Linked DNA regions of Alligator mississippiensis. The protein of the gene in region 1 purifies or fractionates together with the protein of each later gene. This does not show direct contact. Links are inferred from orthologs where the notes say so. Each region holds a gene or a part of one and is shown on either strand. Other genes may lie near its edges.

What was found.
Region 2: the proteins of LPIN2 (region 1) and FBXW11 purify together in Homo sapiens (affinity purification with mass spectrometry; 4 studies listed by BioGRID and IntAct, with this or other methods). This does not show direct contact. The link is inferred for Alligator mississippiensis from reciprocal best matches to the Homo sapiens genes LPIN2 and FBXW11.

The regions. Positions count from the first base shown.
Region 1 is NC_081826.1:90,814,172-90,829,919, forward strand, and holds the start of LPIN2 (phosphatidate phosphatase LPIN2), read right to left. Parts: upstream 6,004-15,748; 5' UTR 5,887-6,003; intron 1-5,886. UniProt on the Homo sapiens protein: Acts as a magnesium-dependent phosphatidate phosphatase enzyme which catalyzes the conversion of phosphatidic acid to diacylglycerol during triglyceride, phosphatidylcholine and phosphatidylethanolamine biosynthesis in the endoplasmic reticulum membrane.
Region 2 is NC_081832.1:46,598,100-46,613,163, reverse strand, and holds the start of FBXW11 (F-box/WD repeat-containing protein 11), read right to left. Parts: upstream 8,282-15,064; 5' UTR 8,182-8,281; coding exon 8,137-8,181; intron 1-8,136.

The DNA.
Region 1 (15,748 bases):
AAGATTGAATTAATTCAGCCTTGGGTTTCTTGACTGTACTTAGCCAAACACACACAGTCCAGTTTAAATGTGGTTTAAATCTGAAACTGACAGACAGAACCTCTACATTTCATATTTGCGGTATAAGTAACATGTTAATTGGGATATAAATGGCAAGGGTGCACCCAACTTAAGACACCATGAAATGACAAATATAATAGTGAACATATTATTCAGAAGATTTTTATGACTGGTTTGTATGGCAACTTAACCTAAACATGAAGCATGTCCAAGGCTACCTCAGGGCCAAGCTTTCAATCAGCCGATTGCTGGTCCTGACTCCAAGACACCCGTGGTCTCTAACTGCTCCATGTACTCCTAGGGCTGGACTGGAGTCTCAAACCAGCCCTCCATAGACTTGGGGCTGGGGCTGACAATTAGCTGATTGTAAGGCCTGGCCTCAGGACCACACCAGGGTCTTGAACTGACCCTTTGTAGTCCCAGGTCCAGGGCCAAGTATCAACATTTGATTGTTGACCCTGGCCCATGCCAGGTCATTCAAGGCTGTGAGTGCTCAGCTTTCAAACTGCCAGTGCAGAGTGAGCCTGAGATCCTGAGGCTGGTCTACAACTGCACTGGCAACTAGAGAGGGTGTGATCTAGATCTTATCCCTGACCCCAAAATTGCACCTCCTGCCATGCATGAGGCATGGCAGGAGGCGCAACTGTTGGGATGGGGGATCAGATCCCATGGCACTTTTAAACAAACAAGCCAGGGGCCAGATATACAAGCCTATTAAACTGTTTTAAAGGTGCCTGTAACCGTTCAAAAGTGCAGCTGGAAAATCAAGTACTATTTTAAACCACTTAAGAGTTATGGGTGGATACCAGGCCATCCGTGGCACTGGTCTGGTTGGTCCTCCAGGCATCTCACACTGTATGGCTCTTTTCCCCACCACTGCTGCAACTGGCCATTCTGGTATGCAGCCAAAACTCTACTGCCCCCTTTGTTGGCCCTTTTCATCAATAAGCCCCCTTGCACTGCTTGTTCAGTAAAGGGTATGTAACAGCCAGCTGTGTCCTTCACTTTCTGCTAGACTGTGTACCCTTATCAGGCGCCTCCAGCTAATGGGAAGCCAAAAACATGGGTCCAAGATTCTCTCATCCCCATCTCAAGTCAGAAAAAGCACACTGTAGACTTTGGTCAATGGCAGGCTACTAAAGTGTACTGAACTTCTGTTTAGGAGAAGGGAAAGCATAAAAGCAAAGATGTGCCAATCACAGATCACCCACCCCTGAAGCATGGGTGCAAGCATTCCCTCCCCAGCCCCTACCTTGCCCATTATGAAACATACTGAGCTAGGTGCTCATTCCCAACCCCTGTTGGCAGTTACAGCACTTCACACACAAAACTGGGAGCTGGTTCTGAATTGGTGACATTTGGGAATGGTTCAATTGTTGCATGCGTCTGCAGACTAACCCTTGTTTTAATTTAAACCTCTTCCCAAGCAACATAGTAGTTTTTCAATGTAATTTGGTAAGGCATTAAATTAAACTTAACACTGGAATAAGAGAGGCCACAGAGTAGATTACACCAATACAGCTATTGTTTAAATCCACATCTCAGGTTATGTTGCTTTTCTTAAGGCCTTAATTTCTCTGGCATTTTTAAGATTGCTTACCTTTTCTCCAAAAGGATACTGAATTCTTTCCTAATCTTGCAGACTTTGGATCTTCATAGACATATTTCACAAAAAGTTTTCTAATATTTTACAAGCCTATCTTCATATTAGCAGTTTCTTCTGGAGCCACATCACTGCCCAGAAAGCGCAACCCTCTGTCTTCCACTCTCAGCAAGTCGCTACTGAACTCTGTAGACAGGCACATTAATCTCTTATAGGTAAAATATTTTTCCTCTGTTCTACACAAAAGGGAAGGGATCCGTTCATGTGGAAGGTTCCTTCCATGAACTCATCTAACTTGAATTATGAGGACCTTTGATTTTTCACTCCCTTCCCACCTTCAGAAAGGAAGAATCCATGCAGACTGAAATGTTAAAAAAGATCCCACTAAAGTTGCTTCACATTCATTTATTCACCTTTAAGTGTGAAACGTATCCATACACTACATCATGATGATCCGAGTCAAACACAGATCTCTGAACTCATAAGCAGTAATCCTATTAACAGGTATTTTGATAGCCATATAAACTGGCACAGCTAGAAAGTTTCTTTTATGAGCTTTCAACAGCTAATTTTAAGGTAATATATAGAGTAATCACAAGACACCAGAGAAGATGAGAATCGTTTTCTCTTTGTTGTATTAAACCCTATTACCATTTTCTGGAGATAATTACATGTGCCAACGGAGAAAGATAGGTACGCATTTAATTTGTATATAAAGCTTTGGTATTTTATTACTGAAAAGTGTAAAAAAACCCAAACCCCAAAATTAAATCAAGGTTTCAGAATTCTCACCCACCGTAACAAATTGGGAAAAGGAGTACCATATTGTTTGGTTAGACCTAGCATACACTTAGTCATAACAAGAACTATATACCCTGTATGATATCAAAGCCAGAAAGATGGTGGCCACAAGGGAAGAATGGAAAAAACTTGCTGTTTTTCCCACTACCATAGAGAACTCCCTAGGAGAAATGTCACAAGTAATGCATATGCATAAAACTTATATGAATTTATCACAAAAACTCTAAATAATAAGGCTTTTCATAACCTAAACTATCCTGGTTTGATTTGGCATATCACTTTCAGACCAGAAAATTATCAATAAATCCCTTTCCTTTATGAACATTATAATAGTTCTGCTGCTGGCAGTCATACGACTATGTTGCAAACATACTACTAACAAATAACAATCACAAAGCAAAAGTAGCAAACTAAACGATATTTCATTTGTAAATTAACTGAGCATAGTAAAAATGTTGCACAAAGCAAAGTGGAGTATTTTATTTACATTTTTAAAAACCCCTGGACACCTATAACACTAAAATGTTTGCACCAGATTTTCTCTTTATATTAGAACAGCCTTATTCTCAACTCCAGCAAGATCAAAAGTCTACAAAGCAAAGACCTGCAGATCTGCTATGTCAGACATGCAAATCATCACACGCATATATTAGAGTATCAGACATACTCTCAGAATTCTGGCTTTTACTTATACACAGCCCTCTAATGAATAAGCTTCAGGGTCAAATGTGATCACAAACTACCCAGTATTTTATACAAATTCAGCAGCTGACTTATCATAAGCAAATTAAATATGCAGCAATATTTGACATCAGAAGCCAGTCTTTCATCTTTCCACAAGACAGTGCAGAGTCTGGTCATGATTTGCTTTCCAGACAGCAGCTTTTACTATCACTCAGGAAAATATTTCTGACTTACTTAAGTAAGTGGTAGCTTAAAAGTTGCCATCTGGAAAACAACTCACAAATAGACTGCATGGTCTTTCAAAAAAGATGAAAGACTGGCTTCCGGTTACAGACAGCATGGACTGGCAATGTTAAGCTGGACCACGCTCAGTTTTGGAAAAAGATCTGGTCTTAAGCCACTCAGTGGCAATGCTCTGGTGATTAATTAGAGGTAATACATGACACCAAAAATCATCCCTATATGCCACTGTTCAGAAGGCAGTCAACCACAATTCTGTACCACAAGAGAAGGAAGGGGGAGAGAGAACAAGACATAAGTTTGTTTTTCGTTTTTTCAACCACTTCATAGAATTCCCCTAGAAAAAAGTAATGAAAAGCTTATATCCATATGATGTTAATTATTTATAACAGTTGTGCATTCATCAATAATGCTATACTGTTACTATGTACTAATATTTTTGCAACACACAATAAATGGTGTCTGACAATTTCCTAGGCCTAAGTCATGGTGTCAAACACATGGCTCACAGGCCAAATCCAGCCCACAGAACTGCTCCATCCGGCAGGCTGCTAGAAGCTGCAGGCCAGGGCTAGCGAGGCATGGGCTACCACAGAATTTGGGGTCCCTAGAAACCAATGGACATGGTCATCGGCAGCCAGGGGCTAGCAAGGCTGTGCAGATACAGACGTAATTCACCTGCTGCAGTCTGACCCCCACCACCAGATCCATGCCACTCCCTGACCCATGCCACTGTGACTGGACACAGCCCAGTGACACCTCAGGTCTATAAAGATGCCAGTTTTAACTTGCATTTGAAGTAGCTTCAACCAAAACAGCTAAACCAAGGTTCTTTGGCTGTATTAACATAACGGGGAGCTGGCAGCTGGGACATCCAGACATTATAATAATTAAAGAGATGCCAAATGCAAGCAGGTACAGCTTGTCTGTCTCTAGAATCAGATGTGACCCAATCCGAAGCAGGGAATTATAAGTAAATTCTCTGCTGTGTTTTACGGCAACATCAAGTTCTATGCCACAAACAACAAACGCCTAGAATATTTTTTTTAGACGTGTATGTCCCAATCAGCCACTTCACCTATTTTAGCTGCCCAAGCTCCGTAAGTTAACAAAGACAACGTTTCATAGATGACTGTGAGTAGCACCCAGACACAGGTACTTCACCCGCAACAGTAGGCTGCTTGGACTACACAGGCAGTTACATGCCTGATGTACACAGGAATTACAAGATCCGTGTGTAAATTAGAGAAGGACACCGGCTGCTGTGGTTTCCTTACTTTACTCATGGCAAGTTAGGGCATTATGTCTATGTTGCGTCAGGGATGAGGGTAAGAGTTTAGATTACGGTTGTGTGGGGTGGTTCGGATTAGAAGGTCCCTTTCAGCCTGACTTCTCTATGACTAAGTACAATGTCAGGAACCACCTCTGAAAAATTGGCTTAAGGGCTCATAAAGTAAAGCCACGCGTATTGTTATATATAAACAAAAAGCCACGTTATGAGACAAAAACACTCGCATTTTGTTTAGCTGGGGGGTGGGAGACTCTACACCAGTGCTTCCCAAATTTTTCCCCAGACTCCATTTAGGGTCCCATTTCCTCAGCGTGGCCCCTCACTCCCAGTCCACAACCCTTCATCCCCACAACCCCACCGGCTGATGCTGCGACCCTGTTTAGGGTCACGACCCACAGTTGGGCAACCGCTGCTCTCCACTGTTCAGAAACAAACCCTCCCAGGCAATACAGGTTCAACCTCCTGCATGGCCTCACACTTTCCAGTCAGCTGCAGCCGGGAGGGGATACAACGGGCCTCAAGGGGGCTACCCACGGTCGCCACAGTTGCTTTCATGGAAAAGAAGTGTGAACGAAGTAGGTGATGCGCGGGGCCCCCGCCAGGCGCCCGAAGTGAGCAGTGTGTGCAGGCAGCGTGCCACAGGCAAGTGCTGCGCAAAGCCCAGTCAGTCCCAGAGCTGCGCCTTAACCCCAACGCCACGGCAGAGACCAGCCGGGGGCTCCTCAAACCGCAGGGGCATGGGGCTCTGCCCTGGGCTAGATACTGGGGGTGGAAACGCAAGACCACAGCACTGGACACCTCCCAGCTTGGCTCAGCACTGGACACCTCCCAGCTTGGCTCAGGGGCAGGAGGCAGAGCAAAGCAGAGCGCCCCTCGCCCAGGAGCCCCAGAGACGGTGGGCAAGGCGAGGGGAGCCTGACCAGGGCCCCATGCTGGGCAGAGCCCCTGGCGGAGGCTGTGATGGGCCGACACCCCCCGCATGGCCCCTCCCGCCTACGTCAAAACCCCCAACGGACAGCGCCATCGGGGAGCGCAGGGGTCCCCGGGCCGCCACCCGGATGGAACAGGCCGGGAGGGGGAGAAGGAGGGAGCCCTGCACCGCACACGCGGGGGGGGGGGAGCATCGGAGCCCGACCCCCGCGCGCGAAAACGAGGCTGCGGGGCAGTCCCCGGCGGAGCTGAGCGGCGCTGTCGCCCCGCAACTCACCTCGTGCCGGGCCAGCGCCAGGCTGGCGGGAGAACGGGGGCAACGGCTGCCGCGACAAGACCAGCGGTTAGTGGCGGCAGCGGCGGCGGAATGGAGCGTTGCCCGGCAGCCGGGGGGGGGCGGGGCGGGGCGGGGCGAGGCGAGGCGGCGCGGGCGCGCGTGCGCACTGAACCGGGGGCCACACGTGACCCCTGCCCCGCAGACGAGCTCACAGCGCCTGGGGCAACCGGGCCACGCGCCGGGCGCCGGCGGCAGTAGCCGGGCTTAGGGGGGAGTGTGCGTGTGCTCTCGTGACCGCTGCACACGTGTTCGCGTGCGCTCAGCCGGGGGCGGGGCGTGCACCTCTGTCTCCCGCTGCGTCGGGCTGGGGGCTGCCCCTGGGGGATCTTGCTGGCTGCTGCTTGCACGTGCCTGCTGCACACCGGGGGGCGCGTGCGTGCGTGGCCGTGCGCACATGGGGGGGCGAGTGTGTGCACGGCTGTGGGGGTAGTGAGTGTGTGTGTGCATGTGCCTGGGGGTGTGTAGAACCTGTGCTGTATGCGTGTGTGTGCAACCACAAGAGATGTGCAGGGACTGGTGCTTGGTTTCCGCTGCCAGGCAACCCAGCTCGGGGGAGGTGGGACAGCCCTATGGGCTGGGCTAGGAGCCAGCCCCACTTTGTGGGAAGCCTGGGGACAAACCGGTGCCCTGCTGCCCCCCGGCTGCCCGCAGATACCTGGGCTGAGGTGGTGCGCTCTGTGCGGCATGAAATCTGCTGGGAGAACCAGCACTTAGTTTCTCTTCCTTGCCAGCACTTAGTTTCTCCTTCCTCTCCCCAAGTCTACCCTGGATTCCCCTTCCCATCGCCAGAAGCAGGCACTGACAGAAGAGGCTTGTGACTCACTGTCATGTGCTGGTGGGGGATTAATGTGTTGTAACCCTGACCTGGTTCACCTTGTGGCAGGGAAACCAGGCCGGTTCTCCCAGTGACACACAGAAAAAACAAGGCCATTTCTCCCAGTGACACACTGAAAGCAAGGCGGGTTCTCCCAGTGACGCGCTGCCTGCCTCGGAGACTTCTCCCCACCTTGCTCGCCCTCCCAGCTCCTGAGACTGCCCTCAACCACTGCGTTTATGCTGCCATGGGCAGGCTCATACTTAATTCCCTTTCAGAAGATCACCCAATGCAGAGACTTTCCCAGAGCTGTTGTTTCAGACTTAAGCCAGTGCCACTGCATGCATTACAGTTGTTTTACTTATTATTGCAACTCAAGGGAGCTAGAAATAGGATTGGGGTTTTTTCCCCCCATTAGAAGTTAGATTTTAAAGCAGCTGGGCATGCCAGACTTGATACATGAGGGCAGCCACATGTTTCACACCATTGCTTCAGAGTCCAGTGGGACTGGTTTAATTATTCATTATCCATTATTTCTAGCAGGGTAGCACCTGGGGAAAGGCTCGGGGATGTTGTGGTAGGCGCTGTACATGCGCACAAAATAGGCTTTAAAACTGAGGCCTCTCTGAAGATGGCAACCCTCTGAAAACAAGAAGCTACCTTTACAGAAGACATTTCATTTCACACAGGTTTTCCTATCACTCGGGATCTCTGTTTTCCGGCTGAAATGAAAGGGGTGGTTTACTAGTTGAAATGAAGTAGTATCTGCCACTAAATATTTTCTGTTGGCTAAGCAGCTGGTCAGTTGCTGGATTTAGTTTAATGTTATAATAGGATAAGATTGACTTTTGAGGACACAGTGATATATTTAACCGCTTCTTCCATTTTTCACTAATAAACCTCTCTGGTGCTGAAAAGAAGTTTGTTCTCATTTGAAAAAGCACTGTCTGCTGAAAGCAACAAATAAGACATCACGGGCTTAGGAAGAAAATATCTGTTGTAGGGACAGTTTTTAATATGCTTATGCTCACAAAGTCTAAATTGAAGTCCATGAATTGAAGAGTTTATAAACCTGACTAAGGGAAAAAGGAAAACTAGGTCTGAAGAGGTGATGTGGCTTATCCAAGATTTCAATCCAAGTTACTGACACAGTTGGCAATACAGCTCAGGCCTCCTAAGTTCCAGCCTAGTGTTCAGTCAACTAGACTATTCCACCCTTTTTATAATAATGTGTTTATTTTACTTTTTTATTACAATAAATAATCATATTTTTATTTAAAACGTAGGTTTTAGCCCATTTGGGACAAAGGCCATGCTTATGCTTTCCTGAGTTTTTCAATTTACAACCCAACATTGTTCAGTTTACATAATATTCAACATAACAGAACAATCATAAATTGAAAATGATATGTTAGTTTGCTGATAGATGGGTAAACAAAGCCTTGCTATGGTGGAAAAGCATATGCTCCTTGTATCTTGGCACATAAAACTTCTTGCATATCTTTAGTACATGCCCATGTCCCACAGAGATGTGTTTTGCTCTGTACATATTGTGCTACATGAGTTCCTATTCTTTTTCCTGCAGCAGCCACACTTCTGGCAGAGCCTTACTGCTATATATTTAAATATCTGTAGAGCTCAGAACTCCAGTCATTAAATGCCATGCAACTTGTAGTTTGGGAAGTGCTGCCTAAGAGTGAAATCAACACATCTTTCATTATTTGTAAATATTACGTTTTATTAAAAAAAAAAAACAAAACCTTTGTATATTGGACAAATTTATTCCTTGCATGAAATGCATACACAATTTTTGGTGGAAAAAAAGGGGTTTTGGCAGTTAGAAACACACACACACACACACTGAATTGCAGGGGTTTTGTAAACATATATATATTATTAAATGACAGGTCAAATGCCAAGCCTGCTCATCTTGATATTGCTGGTTTCACAATAGAAATTCTGAATGAATGTTGGGAAATTTTATGGAGCAAATTCATGCATATATGCATCTCTTACTCAGCTCAGTGCAATTAATGTTCCCCTGTTTGGTACTGCATGGATATTCCTGTCTCAGCTGTTACAGTAGTCCAAAGGCATCACTCATTTGAATAGAATGGCATAATGATAATAGTCCAACTATATTTGCATAATATGTTTCCTGAACATAAGGTACCTGGAAATACCATTAAGCTTGAAAGATTTCAAATGCATTCAGAATCGTTATAAATCATTTCAGGTTTCCCTCCACGCTTTCTTGTGCTCCTTATTTGTTGTCTTATCTCAGTTTAGACCTTGTGAGAATAAATTTGTTAAAAATTGTCCTTACAACAGATATTTTCTTCCTATGCCCATGATTTGTTGCTTTCAGCAGACAGTGCTTTTCAAAATGACAGCAATCTCCTTTTCAGCACCAGAGAGCTTTATCGCTGAGAAATAGAAGAGGGGGTTAAATATATCACTGTGTCCTCAAAAGTCAATCTTAAAATAGATCCTATTATGACATTAAAGTAAATCCAGCAAATGACCAGCTGCTTAGCCAACAGATAATTTTTTAGTGGCAGGTAGTATTTCATTTCAATTAGTAAGCCACCCCTTTCATTTCAGCCAGAGAAAAGAAGTTCCTAGAGCTAGGAAAATTCATGTGAAACACAACATCTTCTGTACAGGTTTCCTTGTCTTCTTAGAGAGTTGCCATCTTCAGAGAGCCCTCGGTTTTTGTCTCCTACATCCTCACCTGCTCTTCCCCCTCCCCCTCACCTTCTTCCATAACATTTTAAAACTAAACTATAAAAATGGTAAATTGTATTCTTTTCACACATTTGGCATATTTATTTATTCTCTGATTAGACAACATTCCATGTAGGCTGACATGAACCAAATTACCCTTTCAGTTTTTATATGCAATTATATTCTTGTTTGTGTGAGTCTATATGTCACCCTACAACAATGTAGCAACACACTATGTCACCATATAGTATGCTACGGTGATGTAGCGATCACATGGGTCTACACATGATCTCCAGCTACGTTGCCATAATGGTACACTTCCCTGGTGTAGTGCGCTGCTATGGCGACAGTGGCGAAATCTAGCCATGTACCAGGCACACAGCTCAGTTACCTCCCATACTGGAAGTACTAAAGCATGGCGCTGTAGCAATGTTGCCATATGGCAACGTGTAGATGTGCCCTTTGAGATGTAACCTGTGACACCATCTGGTCATCTGGACCTTTTAACTACCCTAATAAAAAAATCCAGAGGCCTCATCATGGTCTTTATTCAGCGCAAAGCATATTCCTTGCCCCTGATCAGTATTCAGATTATATGATCATTCCTCCATTTCTTTCACAGCGCAAGCCACATCTGCTAGTGAGTGGATACCTTGAGATGTCCCACTCACAGTCATAAAGACCAGCTCCCCTCATCTATATATAAGCAGTAGGGCTGTGCGAAATTTCGGCAGCCGTTTCATTTTGGAGGTGTTTTGGGCTGTTTTGGCACCCGAAACACCGAATCCGAAGCAAAATGGAAGGCTCTGAAACATCTCCGAAATGAAATGAAGCATCTGAAACATTTTGAAAATGTTTTGGACAGTTTTGGAGTTTCAGAGCCAGGCTTACAGGGAAATAGCTGTACGCTGTTGCCCTGCCATGCAACTTGGCTCTGCAGGGAGCAGAAATCCAGGGCAGTGTAGGGTCAGCAGCGGTGCCAAGGAGACCCCCAGTGCAGATCTCTGTTCCTGCAGAGCCAGGTCGTGCAGCAGGGCAGTGCTGGTCCCTGCTGCATGACCTGGTTCCTTAGAGAGCAGAGATCCAGGGCAACGTGGGGTGGGCAGCGGAAGCGAGAAAATCCCTGGCGTGGATCTCTGCTCCCTGCGGAGCCAGGTCATGCAGCAGGGACCAGCAGGCTTGCTCACCACTCTGTGCTGCTTCCCTGCCCCATGACCTGGCGTGACAGGGATGGGAGATCTGTGCCGGGGTCTCCTCACCTGCACAGAGGGCAGGGGCACTCTCCCAGATGAACCACCCGTAGCCCCAGCTTGCTCCCTGCTGGGGCCCCAAGCCCCTGACCTCAAGCCCCGCCCAGCTGGGCAGTAGGGCTGTGCAAAGCTTACAGCCTGTTCGAAAGAGCTTCAGAGGAGATTTGGCCAAAACGAAACAGGACAGTGATCCGAAATGAATTACTGTCCTCCGAAACAGCCGAATCCAAAACTGAATTGAAACACTGCCATTTTGCACAGCCCTAAGTTAAGCAGGTGGCAAAGTGCTGTTCAAAATTGTGTTTATGGAGTACCTGTGCTAAAACTTGCAGCAGTTCCAAAAAAGGTAACGTATCAATTTTGGATGAATTAAGTAGGTGCTATATGCAAATTGCTATAGCCATGTTTAATTTCAAGATAATTGTTTTCAAATTTGCTCCTTATTTCTGTGTGTTCAGGGAGAACAGGGTCTGACAGTAAAGAAAAAGGGAAGGAGCTGCCAGGGCAAAATATTGTGGGGAAGCAGCTAAGAGTCTACTTGATCCCCCAAGATTTATTTTCTCTGCTATAGCAGTGGGAGGGTGACAACTTCAAGGCAAACCTCCAAAAATTATATCTGGAAAATTATAACAAACTAGTCAATTGCCTGTCAAGAATGATGGGTGGGGGTGGGGGTGTGTGCGGGTGGGGATAGAGGCCTGTGTCCAGCCCCCTACCCTCCCAACCTTTGGGGCCAGGCCTACTCCCCCTTTTCCACCCTCTGCTGCAGGCTGGGCCCACCCTGCCCCCACCACTCTGCCCCCTGACTCCCCACCCTCTCTGCCACTGTTTTGGGGCTGGGCTGAGCCCTGTGCATGCCCTCCCCATTGCAGGGACAGGCCCATATCCCCTCCCATCCATCCGGCCCATGTCCTCCTGCCTCCTCTTCCCATGAATGTCGTGGGGGGGGTGTGGATGGAGCACCACCACCCAGCACCCCATGCCACCGCTGCATCCAGGGAGCGGGGGTAGGCCAGTGCTGATGGCCTTCTACCCTGCTCTGTCCACTCTATTGCTGCTGCCTGCTTCTTTCCCTCTGTCCCTGCCATCACAACAGCATCTGGGCCTGCTCCTCCCCCACGTCGTGGCAGGCCCGGGCCTGGGCCCATTCCTCCCCTCCCCTGCACCGCCATTGTGAGTCCAACCATGTTCCCCACCCCACTCATGCTGCCACTGCTGCCTCCGCCATGGAGTGGGGGGGGCAAGGCCAGCTGTGCTGGCCTCAGCCCCCCGTCCCCTCTGTCCCTGCTGCCATGGCATCACAGCACTGCCACCACCTGCAATCTGAACGCTCTTGGAGCACTCCGATTGGCTGCCGAGACAGCCAATCAGAGTGTGAATAAAGCATTACGGAAAGACAGGCAGGCTAAGGCTGTGTGTAGATGAAACGAGGGGCATACACGCATGACACTTTAAAGTGGGCTAAATGCTTTTGCACCACTTTAATGGTGTCAGCCTTCGCACGCCTCGGCCGAGTATTGTGCATTAATTCCAGCTGCTGTAGGAAATTCGGCAGCATAATGCACCTTAAATGACTTGGGGCACAGCAAACTAAAACTCCTCAGACATTATGAGGGGTTTTAGTTTGCTGTGTGTACAGCCACGGAGCGAAGCACTGAGCTCTGTGCATTGCAAAATCAAGCCCCACATGAGCAATATTCCTTCACTCCTGACAATTATTAGCAAGCATTGTACACACTACTGCCTGATAATATGTAAGGCAGATCATCTGATAAGAGGACAAAGTCCTGATTCTTCTTGAAATCACTAGCCATTATTTTCCTCAACAACAGGTGCCTTCTAGCTAGAACTTTCCATTGTGGCTAGGCTGAAGAGGGCAGGCAAACATTTTCTATAGCTTTCTCCCCTTCCCCTGCTCCAGGTTTCCCCAGTTCTGCTTTTATGAATAGAGTTATAAGCAAGTACTTTTGCCAGGTACGTTGGGATTTTAAATGGGTCTCATTCTGATGGTGTTAGCATGAGTAGACAAACTCTAAGAAGATAGGAGAAGAGAAGAGAATGAGGAAGAGGAGACAGACTGGCACACAGAAAGGGTTAGAGTAAGGGTGCTTGTACACGTTATTAAGTGGCCTAGTTTACACCACAACATTTTCTCAATAGAACTTAAGTTGTGCTGGTAAAATTTTGAGCGTAGACAGATTCAAAATTTCTCTAAGATGGCAGAATTCTCCTGCTTGCTGCCAAGGTTAAACATTTCCCCTAACAAAGTAATGTTTCATGTAGACATGATTTTCAATCAAGGTGCCGTGGCCCCCAGGCTGCTATGCAATGTTAGCTGTGCTTACATGATTTACAAGATAAACCCAGAGTTTTCAAATAGGAATCCATAGTGTTAAAAGCATTCTGACTTGTTTGGGTCTTTCTGAATTGCAACAGGAATTCCTTTTTTTTTTTTTTGGGTAATCAAATATCAAGTGAAAACTAAGAACTGGCATTTTCCAAAGGGAGCCTGGCATGTAGTAAGGCATGCTTTAAGTCTAAAAAGGCTGAGAACCACTGATGTGATACACCCATGCTTTCCACTTGCTGTAAGTCCTTTCAGCAGCTGTTGCCTTCTCAGGGTGCACTTTGTAGCCTGGCAGCACAGCTGCTGAGGGAAGCTGCCAAAAGCACATAGTCATCCTGATTACTCTCTTGAGCCCGGGGGGGGGGGGGGGGGTGGCTGCTCTCTACTGTATGAATGTCTACTGCCAGAGGCAGGTAAGAGTTGACATCAGAAAAGAGGCCCTTAAACATAATGAGCAGTTGAGGGAGACAACTTAGACAACATGTCAACAAAGGAAAGTGGTCCATTTTAATGTCTCTCTCCACTTTCATTTCTCCCTGACCGTCTCCCACACTCATTTTCTCTTAATTTTTCTTTTTTATTCAGGTTCCTATACAGATGAAATCAATTATTCCTTGTACATTTTAATTTTCATGTGATCTGCTGCTCTTTGCTCTTCTCCCAATAACACTTTGCTTCAGTTCTTACAAATTGTTGTTCTGTCTTCAGGACAATGGAATCTGTTGTGTGTAAAGATTTGTTCTTCCATTCCAGCAAGCAGAAACATAGATTGACTGGAATATTATTATTAATGTGTTCAGTTTATGGCTATTGTTAGGGGAGTCAGGCTGAATATCTAACATGGTCATTATTTTAATTTGCAACCAGATGATGCAAATAAAATAGCTTTGTGTACTGTAGCATTGGGTTTTAGCAGCCTGAGTCTACAGACAGATCGTTTTCAATGATTAGGCAATAAATCTTGAACTCACCCCTACAAGAAGTCAAGAGCAACAAGAACCACAGATATACAGACTTGTTTTTTCACAACAGCACAGAAATCATTATACTCACTTATAGCTAATAAGAACAGAGATCAGACCCTTCTGCCTAAGTCAAAAGGAAAAATTTTTTCACAACTCTTCTTTCCCCATCTTTAAAATGCATACTTTATAATTTTGGGAGATAAATAACAGACTCATGCATGTGATCCTTCATTCACACTTTTTGTATGTGAACTATTCTGTGTTTATGTTGTTGAACCTAGGTGTCACACCATCAGGAGATGAGTTTACAATAGGATTATAAACTTAAGTATGAAGAATAGTATTTGCAGGAATGGGATATTTAGGTGATGAAAGGAGGTCATTACCCAAAAGCAGTACTCCAGATAAGCACTGTAATGACCAGGATGTTTGTTTAAAATGTAGTTACAAATATCTTGGCATATATAATAGAAGTGTCTATCATTTTAGAAATGCATCACATTCTGTCATTATGTAATGGAGTGAGAACAAAAGAACAACATTTTGTTGTATGTCACAAGAATGGAACCTATAAGCATCTCTTTAAAAGATTAGGGTCCAAGAAAACTTTTTATTCAATTTTATTGTTAAATGACAACACTCAGCAGTTCTTTTATTACAGTATTGTTAAAAGTATTTTTTCATGCACTTGTGAATGACACTAACTTATATAATTAAAATTAGAATTTTAAAGGCTTTACTTAGTTACCATGCACTAACTGTTTGTATTTTGTTTACTTTATGTAATAACACTTGAGCGGCTAGTGAGCAGTTCCTAACAGAACAAATATGTTGGTTTCCAGTTCTTTAAGACAATAAACTGAAAAAACAAACTAAGCAATACTCTAATGTAAGTTCACTGATATAAAATTCTTTCCACAAGTTTTGATGATAACAGAAGCAAAAATCTATTAATTTTTTTTTTTTTACAATACCTGCAGCCCCAGTTCTTTTCCAGCAGAGTTCTGTTACAGACCCTAGTGGGAGCAGAACTGGTTCCTAAATGTGAAGTTTTGTGAGCATTTTAGAATGTTCTTTCAGATTGGTTCTTTCAGACCCTGGTTTAAAGTCCCATTAAAGTCCATTAAAAGATGTCTATTAATGCCAATTGAGTAGGAGCTCAATCCACCACTCAATGGCAAAACCCTGCATTATATCATTTATATAACAATACAGGTGTCCATGTTCTATAAAACTAATTTCCTTGTAGAGGAGCTATAGAAGATGATTGATTTTTACAAGGGGTTTGCAGGATTCAAGCAACTGCTATGACAAAGAAATGGTTAAGAAGCATACAAAGCAGGCAGCAGATGCCAACTTCCGTATATTAGTGATATTTTGAAAGGACAGCGTTTCTCAAACTGCTGCTTTCTCACTAAGTGATGTAGTCATCATTTCTCCTGTAGAGTATTAATCATTTCCTGCTACACTCAAGCACTAATACATGTCTACCAGTATATATATTATTTGGGTTACCACTAAAACCAATTCTTATAGAGACAAATCACTCCTGTGTTTCTCTGTGAAACCTGTTGTAAAATTACAGGTTGTATTTGTTAGGCTGATTCACCATTGCTGTTTCCATTTCCCATTGATTTCAATGGAGTGACTTTTGTGTAATACAGGAATAATGCAGTAGTAAATCTAGCCTTGTGTCAAA
Region 2 (15,064 bases), on another chromosome or scaffold:
TTTTGTCACTCATTAAAAAAAAACCCACTAAACAGTAGCTTAAAATTGATGCCCCCCATTTCCCCACCCATTGGTTTATAGAAAAACAGCTCACTTAGGAAACGGGTGCCTACATTATTAAGTTCACCAAAATTTGCAAACCTATTTGGGTGTTTGTACACATGCGGGGGGGGGGGGCGGGGGGGGGGGGCATGTTTTAATAGGAGTGGCTCCAAGAGCCACTCTAATTAAAGCACCCAGAGCATTTTGTGTATCAGTGTCCCCATGCTTCAAAATGGCAACAGGGGCACTTTATATAAAAGCACCTTGTTGCCATTTTGAAGTGCGGGGACATTGATACATGAGAAACTGGAGGCTGCTGCAGTGTGGTAATTACCAAACTCCAGCAGACTTGATTAATCACCCTTTGTTCCAAATGGGTGTTGAAGGCTACATTGACCCTCTAACCCAGCAATTCTCAAACTTTTCAGACTCAAGGCACCCCTCCATAACTTTTATGAATTGAGTAGAACCCAATTCAAAACTAATTTGCATATTACTGGACTTCCCACCGTGCAGAAAGGCTGGGCAGTGTGTGGGTGGGCGGGGAAAGAGGCAAGCCTGAGCTTATCTGCTGATCTCCCCACACCTCAGGCACCCTACAAAGGATCTGGCATACCCCAGGGTACTCCAGCACTGCTCTAACATCTTAGTGATTTCAGCATGTCAGGGTTGAAGCACACTAATATAGGTTTGTGGATAAGGTTGGATTACTGCTGCTAGTACAATGCTTACATGTAAACAGGTATCCTGAATTTCCCCCACTGATAATCCATCTTTTACTGGAAGAAAATTTCCTTCCTAAATATACGAACACTGCTTTCTTGAACTAAATTTTTGAAAATATGACAGGCCTTAAGTGACCACATAAAGGCATTAGTCATTTGTGACTAAAACACAGGAGGACAGCTCATAGAAAGCAGTATATCTAACAGAGTAAGTAGTAAAATATAGCAAGACAGCTGAATCAGTGTAATCATCCCAGTAAAGTCAAGAATGAGTCTATAAATGTGGGGAGAGGGGGAACAGGGGATTTATGCTATGCCTTAAGCTTGCAAAATATGTACCATAAAATCTCTTTCAAGAAAACACCCTTGATGGTAGCATGGGTGCATTTAACTAAATTTATGTGCAGCCAATAGAACTAAATGAACATGTATCATTATGGCTATGCCCATGGTCACAGCCTTTTCCCTATCAGTCTGAGCAGTTTCTACAAGTAGCAAGCCACTCCCAATTCTACTATGGCCAAACTTCAAGCTTAGAAAACATAATAAAATGTAGATAGCTGCACTAGACACAAGAAAGGATGCCACTATGGAGAAAAGGTGGTAAACTAAATAGAATTATTAACCAACGGTAGTTTCAAATCTCAGCATTCATTCTTTTTTTTTTTTTTCCTATTTATTTCCTGAGTAGGCTTTTAGTAGGCTAGAGCAATGCTCCCGTATAGGTATGTTCTCTTAATGTTCCATACACATTATTTCCTCTTTTTTGCATCTTTGTCATGCCATCCACTTCATTTTGAACCCATATGCCATTTTATTTTACACACTATTACACAATGCTTAAAAGCAGTCACGAATGTAGAAGAGATCCAAGACGCACTGAATATGCCAGTGTAACAATGAACTGTATATTCTACGACACTACGTCAGTAAGCATTTATGAACTAAAGGACACCCATCAGATTCATACAACAACTGAAGCAGTGTTTAGCAGGAAAGGGATGGAAGGAAAAAGGTACTGCATTTGATCTTCAAAGAATGTCCTCAGGTCTTAACCTTGACACAGCCGAAACTGAGCCATCTTACTGAAGTAAACTGGAAAGATGACCAAAAAACCTCAAGTGGTACATTTGCAACATTTATTTAACAATCCTGCTCAAGAGGTACAATTGACACTAAAATACGCAAAAGGATGTACGCGAAGTTCAGTTCAGTTTTTGAAAATCAGCTGAGCCACTTCTGACAACACAAATGCTAGCTGTCCACCGAGTTGCAAGACAACGTAGCAGTGATCATCTTTCCCACTAAATGCATTATCATTACTCTAAACCAGTGTTTCTCAACTTGTGGGTCACGACCGAAAAGTGGGTCACAAGAATATATGAAAGGGTCATGAATGACTTTAAAAATGGATCAACCAACTTATAAAATGGATTCTTCTTTAAAGGAGAAAAGTGTGGGAAACGGTGGCTTTTCCCTTGCAGGCTGGCAGAGTTACAGCCTTCAAGGGACTGCTTGGGCCCCCCACATGCATGCCTCACACCTACCCTCCTACCCCACACACTTGGGGACTGGGGCCTGGGTGGAGGCAGAGGGTCAGGAGTGAGAGAGAGTGGGCTGGGACTCGCCATTGATGTTTACAAATGGGTCCTAGTACAAAAAAAGGTGAGAACCACTGCTCTAGACCAGGGCTGTCCAACTTAAAAGCAGACGAAGGCTACGCATTGCACAGCTTACACAAGACTCACCAAGCTCCCATGGGCAGTGCCACCCCACCATCAGGGGCAGAGGCAGGAAGCAGAAATCACAGGAAGAAGGGGAAGGCTGGAGACCCCAGCAGCAGTAAACAGCCAGGAAGAAGCCTGAGGGCTGCAAGTTAAACCCCACATAGGCTTCAAGTTGAACAACCCTATCTTGGACCTTAGAGCATCCATCTAAAAGGACTCTGGCTCAAACACACACATTTAGAAAATTAAAACAGTCAGGCAAGCAAATGTTCTGGATATCTGGAATATAGTAAAGGTCTGAATGCATCATAACCTTTGCTCTTGTGTGTGGCTACAACCCAAATGAACAAGCCAATACCTAAAGGATTCAGTCTTCCTTTCTGCTTACTCTACATGCTGATTCACCCCACACCCCATCTGAATTCTAGCCTTTATCCCACCCTTCTCACTTTTGCAAATACTCTCTCATGCTGTCCTCTAACGTGTCTCCCAAATTTCTTGCTCACCTCCCTTAAGTTTATCACAATCCTTCATCACTCAACTTTTTCCAATCTAAATGGTCCATCTTATTCATGTTCTTTCCAACTTCTTCTTTTCCCCTTTCTTGGCAAAAATCACAGCAATCTTGTTTTTTATACTGAGCCCTGTCCTTCCCAGCCTCCGTAGCTGCACTCTTCGTACCTCCTGCCTCAAAACTTTCTAATCTTGCAACTTCCAACCACTGTCTCCAGATACTCCCTCCATCTAGGAAGTGCCCTCAATCCATCTCTTTTCCATATATGGAGCTGTCTAGTATTCCTCAGGTTGACCCAATAGCTGGTTCTTTCATCTTTTCATCCCACCCCTCTATGCCATTTCAATCCTCATATTACTGACCTCTCCAGTTCTGCTGAGGTAATGACTGTAGGTTATGAGAAGTAATTGGCAAAACTAGTACATTTTTACCCTGCTGACTGCATGCTCACTAGTCTACACTAAGCCACAACCTATTAGTCCTGTTAGTTTCTTCACCTGCTTACAGATTTAAGAATCGCTGCCAAGATTTTTAACAGACGTTTGGTTAAGACAGTGCCTCCTTGTTTGTTTCAGATCTAGTTAAGGCCATTATCCATATTTTTCATCTCCTCAAAATGGACTCTACTACACTCTAAACAGAATCATAATTCAAAACCATTTTGAAAACTTAAGCTGGTGCAAAATGCAGCTCCTCACCTGATAAGCAGTACTTGGCAGAGACAAAACATTACAACAATGCTTCAAGTTCTACATGAGTAAACCTCTAAATGCTTTGAGACGACAGCCACCTCCCATTACTATCAAATTATCGGGACACTTCAGCTAACATTCACATGGCTTGCTAGAGAAACTGCTGCTGCCCAAGTACTCTCTGATTCTGGAGACTGTTTACCCGATTCTGCAATCTGCTTGCCTTCTGGATTTGAGGGCATTCAGTGCTTATCATAAGGCTTTTCCAGGAGTAAAGGGACAGTTTTTTTGACAAGAGTATAAACCACAGTTCTTCACCCAAACATTTAAACTCTGGGCATGTTCTATTAGGTAGACAGTAAAGGTAACTGATAAGGAAGGAGATATTTCATAAACATACTCTTAAATTATAAGTTCAAGCTGAGTGTACATAGATGCTTTTCAAAAACTTAAACAGCTTTTGCTCCTCCTAGTCCTTGGCCTTCCATAAGCCTTTCACTCTACTCCCGAAGCACAGCACGCACTAGGTTGAATTTAGGCTGAAAGCTTGTCAGGGCAGTGACCTGCATTCGTAAAAATATTATGAACACAAGTGTGTTATAGAAATATTTATGATAACAAACTCAACATGTGCAAATCTTTAAACATGCTTGGCTCCCTGCCTCAATAAACAAGTCTGGTAAGTGTCTGGATAGATCCACAGCCTGAAAACAAAGATTTACATTTCCACTCTAGGAAAAGGATATCGATTTCATATTAAACAGATAGCATGTTCCTCACTTTTGCATCTTTCATAACACGCTAATGCAAACTGTAAGCTGCCAATAAATTTTTTGCTACTGATTAAGGAGTCTTTTAGCAGAATGAATGCAGTGGATGAATGAAACTTTAAAAAAAAAATACAATACATGAATTGTCAGCAATAATCCCAATCACCACCACCCCCTGCCGCCAAAACAAACACACTTTTTCTGGCTGAAAAGATGAAACCGTACGTTACTGCCCATTTAGAGTTCAGCTTCTAGTTCTCAGCTTAAATACCATTTATCACAAATGACACACAAAACAATCATTATCTTAGAGTGAAGTCCATGGATGAATTTGAATCAAGAAGAACAGAAAAGTTAAGGTTACCTAACTTTGTACAGTGTCATTCAAAAATGCTATTTTGCTGTTCTTGTAAAAGTTAGGAAGTGTACAAGGCTTTTGGGCTATTCTACTCAGGGTTTCCATCAGTTGGGAATTGCTTCCTTACTATTTATTTCCTAGACATTTGTCTTGTGCATACAAGACATTTTACCAAAACTGAGCAATATATACTTTAAAATAACAACAATCATGTTAAACTCATTTTCATAGAAGATATGACACACAGGCTGCAGTTTAGAAACACATTAAGTCTTCCAAGCCTTACATCTCCAGAAAATATTTCCTTTGGCCAATGTACTTCATCATGTCTATATCAGAGGCTATTCACTCTTACTCACCACTGCCACCACCATCACCAATGAAATCCTCAAAATACTTTTACTACATTGGAACTACAGCCCTTAGCAAAGGTTAAAGAGAAAAAAAAGTTGAGAGAGAAAAAACATACAAAAGTAAAACAAGGTATCTAAAACCCAAGCCTACGACCCACATTTAACGTGACTACAAATTCGAGATTTTACTTAAATCTCACCTTTAAGTATAGAACAATATTTTTCCCACTAGTGATTTTTTTAAATAAATGCAAATTATCAAACTTAGGGACAAATGAGAGATAGCAACATGTTAATTGCATGAGAGTTTCTATATTATATCCTGCTTGTCAGTTTAAGTATTCAGCATTCCCTTCCAGTTGTTACTAATAAGTTTATTCATTGGTAAAAATTTCACCCATAATTATTTTTCCCCACTCTTGCAGGAAAGGTACAGCAAGTAAAATGTTATTTACTATACCAGAGGGGCACAAAAAAGAGCCTGCACTTAGAACCTCAATGCTCATAGCTTATTTTACTTAAAAATAATTGCAAAATGCAAAAAGTAGCAAAATAAATCTTGTGTTTTAAAATGATCTCCATTTGAAAGATTCTTTCTAACAGCTGACAGTTTTAGTACAAAGGCAAGTTTTTTTCTCTCTTGGCCACATTTCTTTTTTGTCAATAGTACTTTCATTTGTGTTTACTTTACAGTAAACAGCATTTCACCCAGTCTTAAGTCTAACATCCCATGGAAATGTTTACAAAGTAAAAACATTGTCAAGTAGCTAAAGAAATGTCACATCTTGGTTTATGAAGTCTGTATCAACTGAATATAGTATTTAGCTCACAGTGATGCAAGTTTGTTTTAACAAAGGCCTTCAACAGCATTAAAAACATGACTACCAACTACATTTTTACTAAGCAATTTTCTGTGAAAATGGTTATACATCTCATTAATTTGATTCACTATATGTTATTTATGAACTTTTATTAAAATAGCAGCTCTGACAAGCTTGATGATCAGTACCACATGAGCTCTGCAAGTGCTACAAACTTATATATACACATTAGCTGAAGTAACTGTACTTTTTTATATTCCAGTTGTGCAACACAAAGCAGCTTTGATACTCATTCCTATACAAAAAAATCTTCTAGAGTATTTTTCTAAAAGTCCCATTAAACTTGTTTATCCATTCCATTTTTCAGGAATTAGGGAGTATAACAATTGTGTCATTTAAAATGTATTCTTTGCTTTTGTTAGTTAGCAATGTAGTAAAGAAACAGATAAGCTATTAATACAACTAAAGAACAGACTGTCAAAGGAACAACCTAGATACGCAAAACAACTCTACCTAGTACCTTAAATTCCATTTAGGCAGCACTAACATCATATGTAATCATCCATTACTCAAAGCAAAGTAGCCAGCAAAATTATGCTTACACACTTCAGATTTGTAATGCTATTTTGGTTTTATACCTACAAAAACAACTAATTCCTTAACTAGATGGCCCTTCTAACAGATTCCTTCATAGATATCACTGACTCTTGTTACAATCCATTAGCATGAGTGATTCTGATGTCACCAACATTAAAATGTGGGATCACTGGATCGACAGTGATCACGGAATCATTAAGACCAGCTGTATCCAGAAACCTTAGTGATCAGCATCCACAGGTTAAAGAAATGCAGAAAGAGCACCTGATAATAAAATGAGAGAGAGAGACATTCTTGAATGTTTGCTTCTTAGTAGAAGAACAAGGTGGTATAACACTCAGCCATGACAGAATTTTTAAAGAAAGTTCACAAGTTCCCCAAACCAGTCTGCTCAGACTACACAGCTACCAGCATGTAGAGCTGCTTAAAACATTCAGATGCATTTTATCTTATGCCAATACAGTACCCAGCACTTTCAGTGTTCACTAGGAGTGTGCACTGACATCTCCCTTTCTAATTGTGCCACCACGTCATTCTTTTTAAAAGAAAATACAAACACAAAGCAGTACATAGAAAACGTGTGTCTAGAACACTCTTATTATTCTTCCCGTTATTAGCTTCGAATACTCAATGGTGCCTTTAAATTAGCTTGCTCTACACTGAACACAGCACCAGAGATGTTAATCCCTTCCCTTCTACTTCCCCACAGCAACCCTGCAGACCTCATTTTCAAAGCATAAATATTTAGCCTCATGCCACAACTACAGCACGAATTTGGCTGAGTTGCAGGGAACAAGACACTTGCTGCCCTGAACCAGCTCCTTGGTGCTGCTGCAAAAACACAAGTTCACTTAGCTGCCACTGGACGTTCCCCGTGTGGGCGACACAGAACAAGGGAGCGGCAGGGAAAGGGGCTTCTGGAACAAATAGGGGACAAGTTCCAGGTCTGAATATTAAGGATGGTTCCCAGCCCCTAAGGAAGGCGGTGTTACCATGACCAAGCTGCGGGGGAGGCCCCCACCCGCCTCCTCCTCCATCTGTGATCAGAAAGTGGCAGCCCCGGCCTGCTACACAGCCGGTGTCCCCCCGGTGCGGGGCGGACGGGACCGACGGGAGGCCGCACCTGGGCACAGCCCGCCGACAAGCCCGAGCCGCCACTCGGCGCCACCCGTTATCGCTCGCGGGGCCGGGTGCGAGGCGCCAGAGGCGGGAGCCGCAGCCGCCTGAGGCCGAGCGGCTTCTGGAGGCGCCCGGAGAAGCCCACGCGGGGCGCGGGGCCCGGGCTCCTCCCCGCCGGCAGGGCTCGCCCCGCCTCGGCCCCTTGCGCGAGGCCCCGCGAGTGTCACTTTCGCCCCGCCCCGCCGCGGGCTTTTGTCCCAGCCCCTCCCCCACGCGCCGCGCGGCCTAGCGCCGCTCCGCTCCGCTCCGCTCCCACTGCGGCAGCGCCCGCGGCTCGGGCCGTCCGTCTGGGGGGATGGATGGGGGGGCGGACCGGGCTGGGTTGGACCGGGCGGCGGGGGGAGGGGCGGCCACTCACCATCAACTCGATGGTCTTGTCCTCGATCACCGAGTCGGGCTCCATAGCGGCGGCGGGGGCGGCGGCCCCGCGCGGGCGGCTCCTCGCTCCCCCTCCCCGCGCCCGCCCGCCCCGCAGCGCAGAACCGAACCCGCGAGCGCTCCGACCTCGGCCGCCGCCGGCTGCTCCCTCCCCCCGCCCGCCGGACGCACGCACGTACGTACGTCTGCACGCACGCTGCAACCGCCGCGGCGTAACGCGCCCCGCTCCCGGAACCGGAAGCACCGCCCCCCTCCCCCAGCGAGGGGAGGGGCGCAGACTACGGCTCCCGCCAGGCTCCGCGGCGCCCTCCCGCGGCAAAAGCGGAGTGGCCTACAGCTCCCGGCATACAGCGCGCGCCAAAGAGGCGAGTGGGTTGCAGCGCATGCTGGGACCTGCAGTCTTGGGGCGGGTGGGACGCGCCTGCGCTCCCCGGGTCGAGGCGGCCGCAGACCTGTGCCGCGCTCACAATAGCCGCGGTCTCGGACCCCCGTGCAGAGCGCCGCGCCGAGCCGAGCCGAGCCGGACGCGGCCCTGGGGACGCTCAGTCCGTGCCGCGGGCGGGGCAGGCGCTGGGGAAATCCCGCTCCCCCCGGCCCGGCGCCGCGATCACAGGACAAGACGTGAAACTCTTTGCTCAGCGCTTTGTGTCCCTCGTGCACCCGGGCCCCTCCTCGAGCCGGGCCCTGCGCCCGTAACACGAACACCTCCTCCTGGGGGCCCGGACTGCCCGCAAGGAGAGAGGCGGAGGCGGCCGCGTCCAGCTGCCCCTTAGGCCCTTGCTGGGGAAGTGAAAGGAAGAGCGCCTGGAGGGGCACCAGCTTGTTGGCTCTGGATTTAGGACCCAGTTTTCTCCAATACTCTCTTCTCGGACTGGTCTCATCCCCTCCAGTCTAACACCTCCTCGGCACTTTTGGACAGGTATAGAGCCATAGAGAACGAGGGTTGGAAGGAAGCAGTCCACGTGCCTGCTCAAAGGAGGACCATCCCCACTATATCCCAGCCAACACATTTTCTAGCCAGCAGATAAGTGGAACAGCGAAATTAGCTTATTCACTGATAGATGTCATAGGGAGGCCATTTTATTTTCGTGTAGCTCAATAGTCCAGTACTTTGGTCATAACTGATTTATATGGGCAGTTGGTCTAATTCCTCATTTCCCTGTTACACATTTGGAGTGGAAGGTGCAGGTTAGGTTGTCTGCCAGAAAGCAACTTGATCCCAGCTGTAACACACCCATATGGCAAGGAAGTATGCAAGTGCCATTTTTGCCCATTTTAAACCCCTTTGCACTACCTGGGTTGTGTAAAGGCATAACTGTAAATGTAACTCAGAACCAGGCCACAGTTTCTCTAGCACATTGATGTTTGAGAACCACTGGGAAAAAAGAAAATTCATTTGACACAAGAAGTAAAACACCAGGTAGTGTGTGTATATATGTCAAAGCTATACAGTAACAATCTTTGTTTTTAGGTAATCGTATCACAAAATTAATTCATATAACAGATGCCCCAAAAAATACTACTTTTACCTTTCTAGCACCTTAATATTCTCATCCTAGTAGTGCAGATACCAGTTCTATTCAAGATCGTTAGTTGAGACAATACAACAGACAATACAACATACCAATATATTTGGACAGTGTTTTGTTTAGAAATAGAGGGTTTTTTTCTCCATAGTTTAATCTGTGAAAAAAGTGAAGGAATATTACTTATCATTGTTTACAGTCCTCCCTCGAAAACCAATTTCATTTTTTAGATTATAGTGGGTTTCAAGTTCTTACTGTTGTAATTTTGGGATTCCAAACACTACAGGGGAAATGTCTTTTTAAATAATTATCTTCCATTATTAACTTGCACCACATAAAGTAACTAATGTGTAGGGGAAAAGGAGTGGTTCAGCAGAAATGCTGAAACCTATTGGTAGGGCCCCATCAAATTCATAGTGCAAGTGGGCTCCGCTGCAGCTCCTGTAACCTTGCAGGTTCCCCTGTGTGCCCCTCCCAGCCACCACCCACCATGGGTTGCTGGAGGGGCCTTGCTTGCAGCTCACTCCTGACTGATAGAGAGGTGAAAACTGCAGCTTTAAATATGGTGCTATTTTTGCCTCCTGTCGCTGATTGCGCCAAGTAAGACTTGGACTACCATGAAATGTCAGGTCTTGAAGACAAATCTTGTCTAAGTGAAGCAGTACATAACATACTGACTATTGGTCACATGTATCAGTACCGTCTAAGTGGTGTAATCACACTTTGTTAAGGATGCATCTCAGACTGTATATTACTAGCATCCCAACAGTATTCTCCTCTGGCGGATGGGATTGCACCGTGTACTTTAGGAATAAGGAGATCTAAAATCTATTCCTATTGCTACTTTCAAATTCTGAGCAGTATTCTGACAGTTCCTAAGATCTATGGGACCAGAGATATGTTACAATATTATTATTCACCAAGTGCTGCCTGTGTTCAGCATTTGAAAAACAGTCCTAGTCACAGGAAACTTTCAATCTAACGTTAAATATAGACTTACAGAGACTAACATAAAAAACTCTAAAAAGATGAGGAGCAATACCATGGAACAAACCACACTGGAAAACACTGAAATGCTTGACAGTGTAAGAGTATCACATAAGCATTACTGAAATGAATGCAATCTGCATTCCTAGCTGTGAGCTGCTTTTTCAAACATTTACAAAATTCCTCAGTGCCTGCATCCCATTCCGAGGCAGCCAGCCTGCTGGCAGAGAACAGGAATCCTCTTCCTCTACGGACGGCATCGTAGTGGTACAGAGTGACAGATTCAGTTTGAACATCTGCAGACTTTGTAGAAAAACTATTGGAGCAACAGTACATTAATAAGTCTGGAGACAAGAACCAGTAATGATTAAATCTCAGGTGCTTTGGCAAGGGTTATCAAGGTCACATGGACTGCAATCTGATGATGCAGCAGGGACTGAGTGAATTAGTCAGCACTGAAAATCAGAGACAAAAATGTCATAAACAGAAGTCTGCTGTAATGGCACAGCATTAATGATACTGTCCTCATGGTGAAAAGGGGACTTAGAGTGAAAATTAGTAAGTACTTTTCCAACAGTTAGATTTGAGGATGAAATTTTTGTCTCCTGACCACCTAATTAGAATTGGTCCAGATATAGCTCACGAACAAGTGAAAATACGATATAGAGTCGTCTTTTCCTTTTGATGCTGCAACCTGCTTCAGTGCTCACTGGGATCAATGGAATTTTATTTATTTAGGCTCATAAAAATGCTAATTAGAGCACCTATTAATGCACTCAGAATATCTTTAAGAGAGTGTCCCAAGTCCAGCAAATATCACTTCCTTTCAAACAATTCCCTTGCTTACAATTATACTCCCCTTCCTTTCCCCTCCCCCCACCCCCATTTTAAATATCTGTGTCAAAAGAGGGACCTTGTTATTAGGACTGTGCTAAATTTCAACAGGTGCTTCATTTCAAAGCTGTTTCAATACATTTTGAGCTAGAAACAGTGAAATTTAAACTAAATGAGGCTTCAAAACAATTTCAAAATTAAAGGAGGGCACGTGAAATGTTTCAAAAGTTTCAAAATGTTTTGAGTTTTGAAGCCAGACTTGCTTGGAGCTAGACACTAACTAAGGAGAGGGAGGGGAAAAGGACTGCTCTGATACTGACATCTAGTTCCCGGTTCGATTTCCAAGCTCCCAGTTTGATTCCCCCACTCTCTGATCACATCCCCCAGCTCTCTGATCATTTCCCCGGGTCTTCCTGGGGGGCGCAGCCCCCTGATCTGTGTGTAGGGTTTCAGCAGGCTGCTGCTGCAGGCTGAGGCCAGCAGTAGCGCTGCAGTCTTTCTGGTGCTCAGCGCAGACTGGGGAATCAAACTGGAGCCTGGGAAATTGACAGGGAGCTGGGAGAATGCTCTCGGTTTGATTTCCCCAGTTCCCCAATCTTTTCCACAGCTCTCTGATCGCTTCCCGCAGCTCTTCCTGTGGGGCATGAGGCCCTGGATGATGTGGGTTGACAGCAGGCTGCTGCTGCCAGGTGGTGATGGCAGCAGCTCTGGGCTATTTCCCCAGCTGGCAGCAGCAGCCTGCTGAAACCCCTGTGCACAGATCCAGGAGGGGCTGCGTCCCCCAGGAAGAGCTGGGGGAATGATCAGCAAGGATCCTGGTTTTCTGTTTCTCATGGAAAAACAGAGAAAACCATGGATTTCCCCTTTTTATCAGAGAAAACACAGATTTCTCCTTTTAGCAGAAAAGCCTGCAGATTCCTTGCTTTTGCAAAGAGCTCTGCAGGCTGGTTGAGCTCCAGTCTGCAAAATCTGTTTGCAAACAGGACGAGAAACCCCTAGCCCTGCCTGGAGGGGGAGGGGGAGGGGGAAAGGGAAGGGCAGGGCCTGAGACTCTGTCAGCCATGGCTGCGCTCAGTTCAGCTTCACTCTTAGCTCCTGGAGCCTGAGGTAATTGGGACTTACAGGAAGCCAGGGGCCCCTCTGGCAGGGCTGGGGGGTTGCAGGTCATGGCTGGCGGGGGCACTGGCAGGGCTGGGGGGAGCTAGCCCCAGCCCCGCCTGAGCAGGCAGCAGCAGTGGGGGAGCCAGCTCAGGGCTGCTTCTGCTGCAGCTGCCTGCTGTTGGGGGCAGGGAGCTGCCCTGGCAGCTGGGGGCCCCCTCCAGCAGGGCTGAGGGGTGGGGGCAGTGAGGGGCACCAGCAGGGCTGGGGGTCTTTGAGAGCAGTGAAATGCACCATCAGGGCTGGGAGAAGCATTGGGGGGTGATTGAGGAGCATCAGTGGGTGGGGGGGGTAGCTGCAGGGGACTTTTAATTTTAATAATGGATTTGGGGAGTTTTATCAGAGAATTTGTGATTTTTTTGTCAGAGAATTTGTGTTTTTTTATCAGAGGAAACCAGGATCCCTGATGATCAGAGAGCTGGGGATCGAACTGGGAGCTTTGGCTGACATGTGGAGCTGCCCCAGCTTCCAGGCAGCGCACAGCACCCTGCCGAGCTGTACTGCACATGTGAGATTGTACAGCTGCTGCATGGGTGCCAGGCGGGGAGGGTGTGACCCTGGCTGCCCCCCATTGCTCTGTGCTGCTTAGAGGGGCTCTGCCACAAACCCTCAGAGGCCCCCATCACAGCTGCCAGAGTTGGTGAGTGCGGGGCCTTTATTTTTTTTTCAAAGCTACATACACTGGCTGTGGAGCATGTGGATGCCAACATGCTGCCGCTGCTGGCTGGGACCAGCACCCAAGTCTGCCTGGTGCAGCCTGCGCCAGAAAGAACCCAGTGTTGGCACTGGCCCCAGCCAGCAGTGGCAGTCTGCTGTCATCCTGCACAGATCCAGGGGGCACGGTCCCCCCAGGAGGGCTGCAGGGCTGTGCCAGACTCCTCCCAGGAGGAGCGGGCCCCTGGATCTGCGTGCAGGATGACAGCAGGCTGCCACTGCCAGCAAGTGATACTAGCTTTGCTTTGAACAGTTTGAGGTGTGGTTTCACAAAAAACCCTGCACCTATCTCCTTGAAACTTGGCAGTCTTCATGCCCTCAGAAGGAGCTACCATCCCTGCAATTTCCATCTAAGTCTGGCAAGAAATGATAAAGCTATAGGCATTTTTGTGATTCCCCATTATAGCCTATGGGCGAAACATCGAAACACGTCAAAGCAGCATTGAAACAGCAAAGCAGTTTCGACAAAACAAAGTGGAACAGTGCTTCAAAACAGCAGAACGAAACACTGTCCCTTCAAAACAGCAAAATGGAAGTTGAAACGAAACAGTGCTGTTTTGCACAGCCCTACTTGTTATGTGTCCTGAAGGTCCTCATATTAGTATTATTTTAAACCAAGCTGAGAACTTGGTCCAAAAGGGTCTAACCTGACAACATGTAGCCAACAGCCCCTTTTCATTTATACTGACAAGTCTTGAGCACATCTGTTAATACAACCTGTGGCACAATAAATGCAGAGTGACCATATATGCTCAGTTTACAAGGGGAAATATGTGTTTTTTTCCCCTTAACCGCAGAGCAGGAAACTGCTTGGGACTTGCCAGCCAGGCTAAACTATTGCCTTCTCACAGGGTGTGTCTACATGTGCAATTAGTGCTTTATGGTTTTACTGCGCAGTTTTTTACTGCAGAGTAAAGCTTCCTTGGGCAGGCATCTACATGTGCGGCTATTTGGGAGCAGATTTGCTCCTCAAGGCACTAGGCTGCTCCCAGCCTCCTCCTGCCCTGCACTGTCCCCCTGCAGCAGCCAGGAGGCACTGGAGGCGTCAGCCACAGCTACCTGAGGCCAGGCACCCTCTCTAAATGTCAGCCCTGTGCGCTGCTTCGTGGCCACCTGCAATTCTGTCCCAGAGCAGGCTGCAGCATGCTGGCACAGGCCTCCAACCCTGTCACCAGAGCCTGTGCTCACTGCATGATGGCTGCTCCACCCCCAGGCCCCAAGAGTGATGATCCATGCCCCAGGCTCCTGCTTGCCACCCTGCTTGCTGCACTTTGCCACCGAGGCAACCACTGCCTGGCCGAGGTCAGTCTTGGCCCTGCCTGCCCTCCCCTGTGTTGCACAGCCTCATGGCCAGACTTACCACAGCATCTGAGACCTCCTGCCACTGCACTGCTGCTGCCCAGCCCCTGAACTGCTACTCAGACCCCAGCAGGGATGCTGATGACATTGCCATGAACGCCTCAACCAGTGCCATCCATGAACTGGGGCTTCAGACCCGTCACCTGTAGGCCCACCTGACCAGCCAGGACTGGTGGCTGCATGTTGTCCAGACCACCTGGGATGATTAGCAGTGGTTGGAGTCCTTTTGCATGACCCAGGCCACCTTCCAGGAGCTCCTCAACCAGCTCTGCCTGCAACTGGAGCAGCAGGCCACTATCATGAGGCTGCTCCTCCCTGCAGAGACCCAGC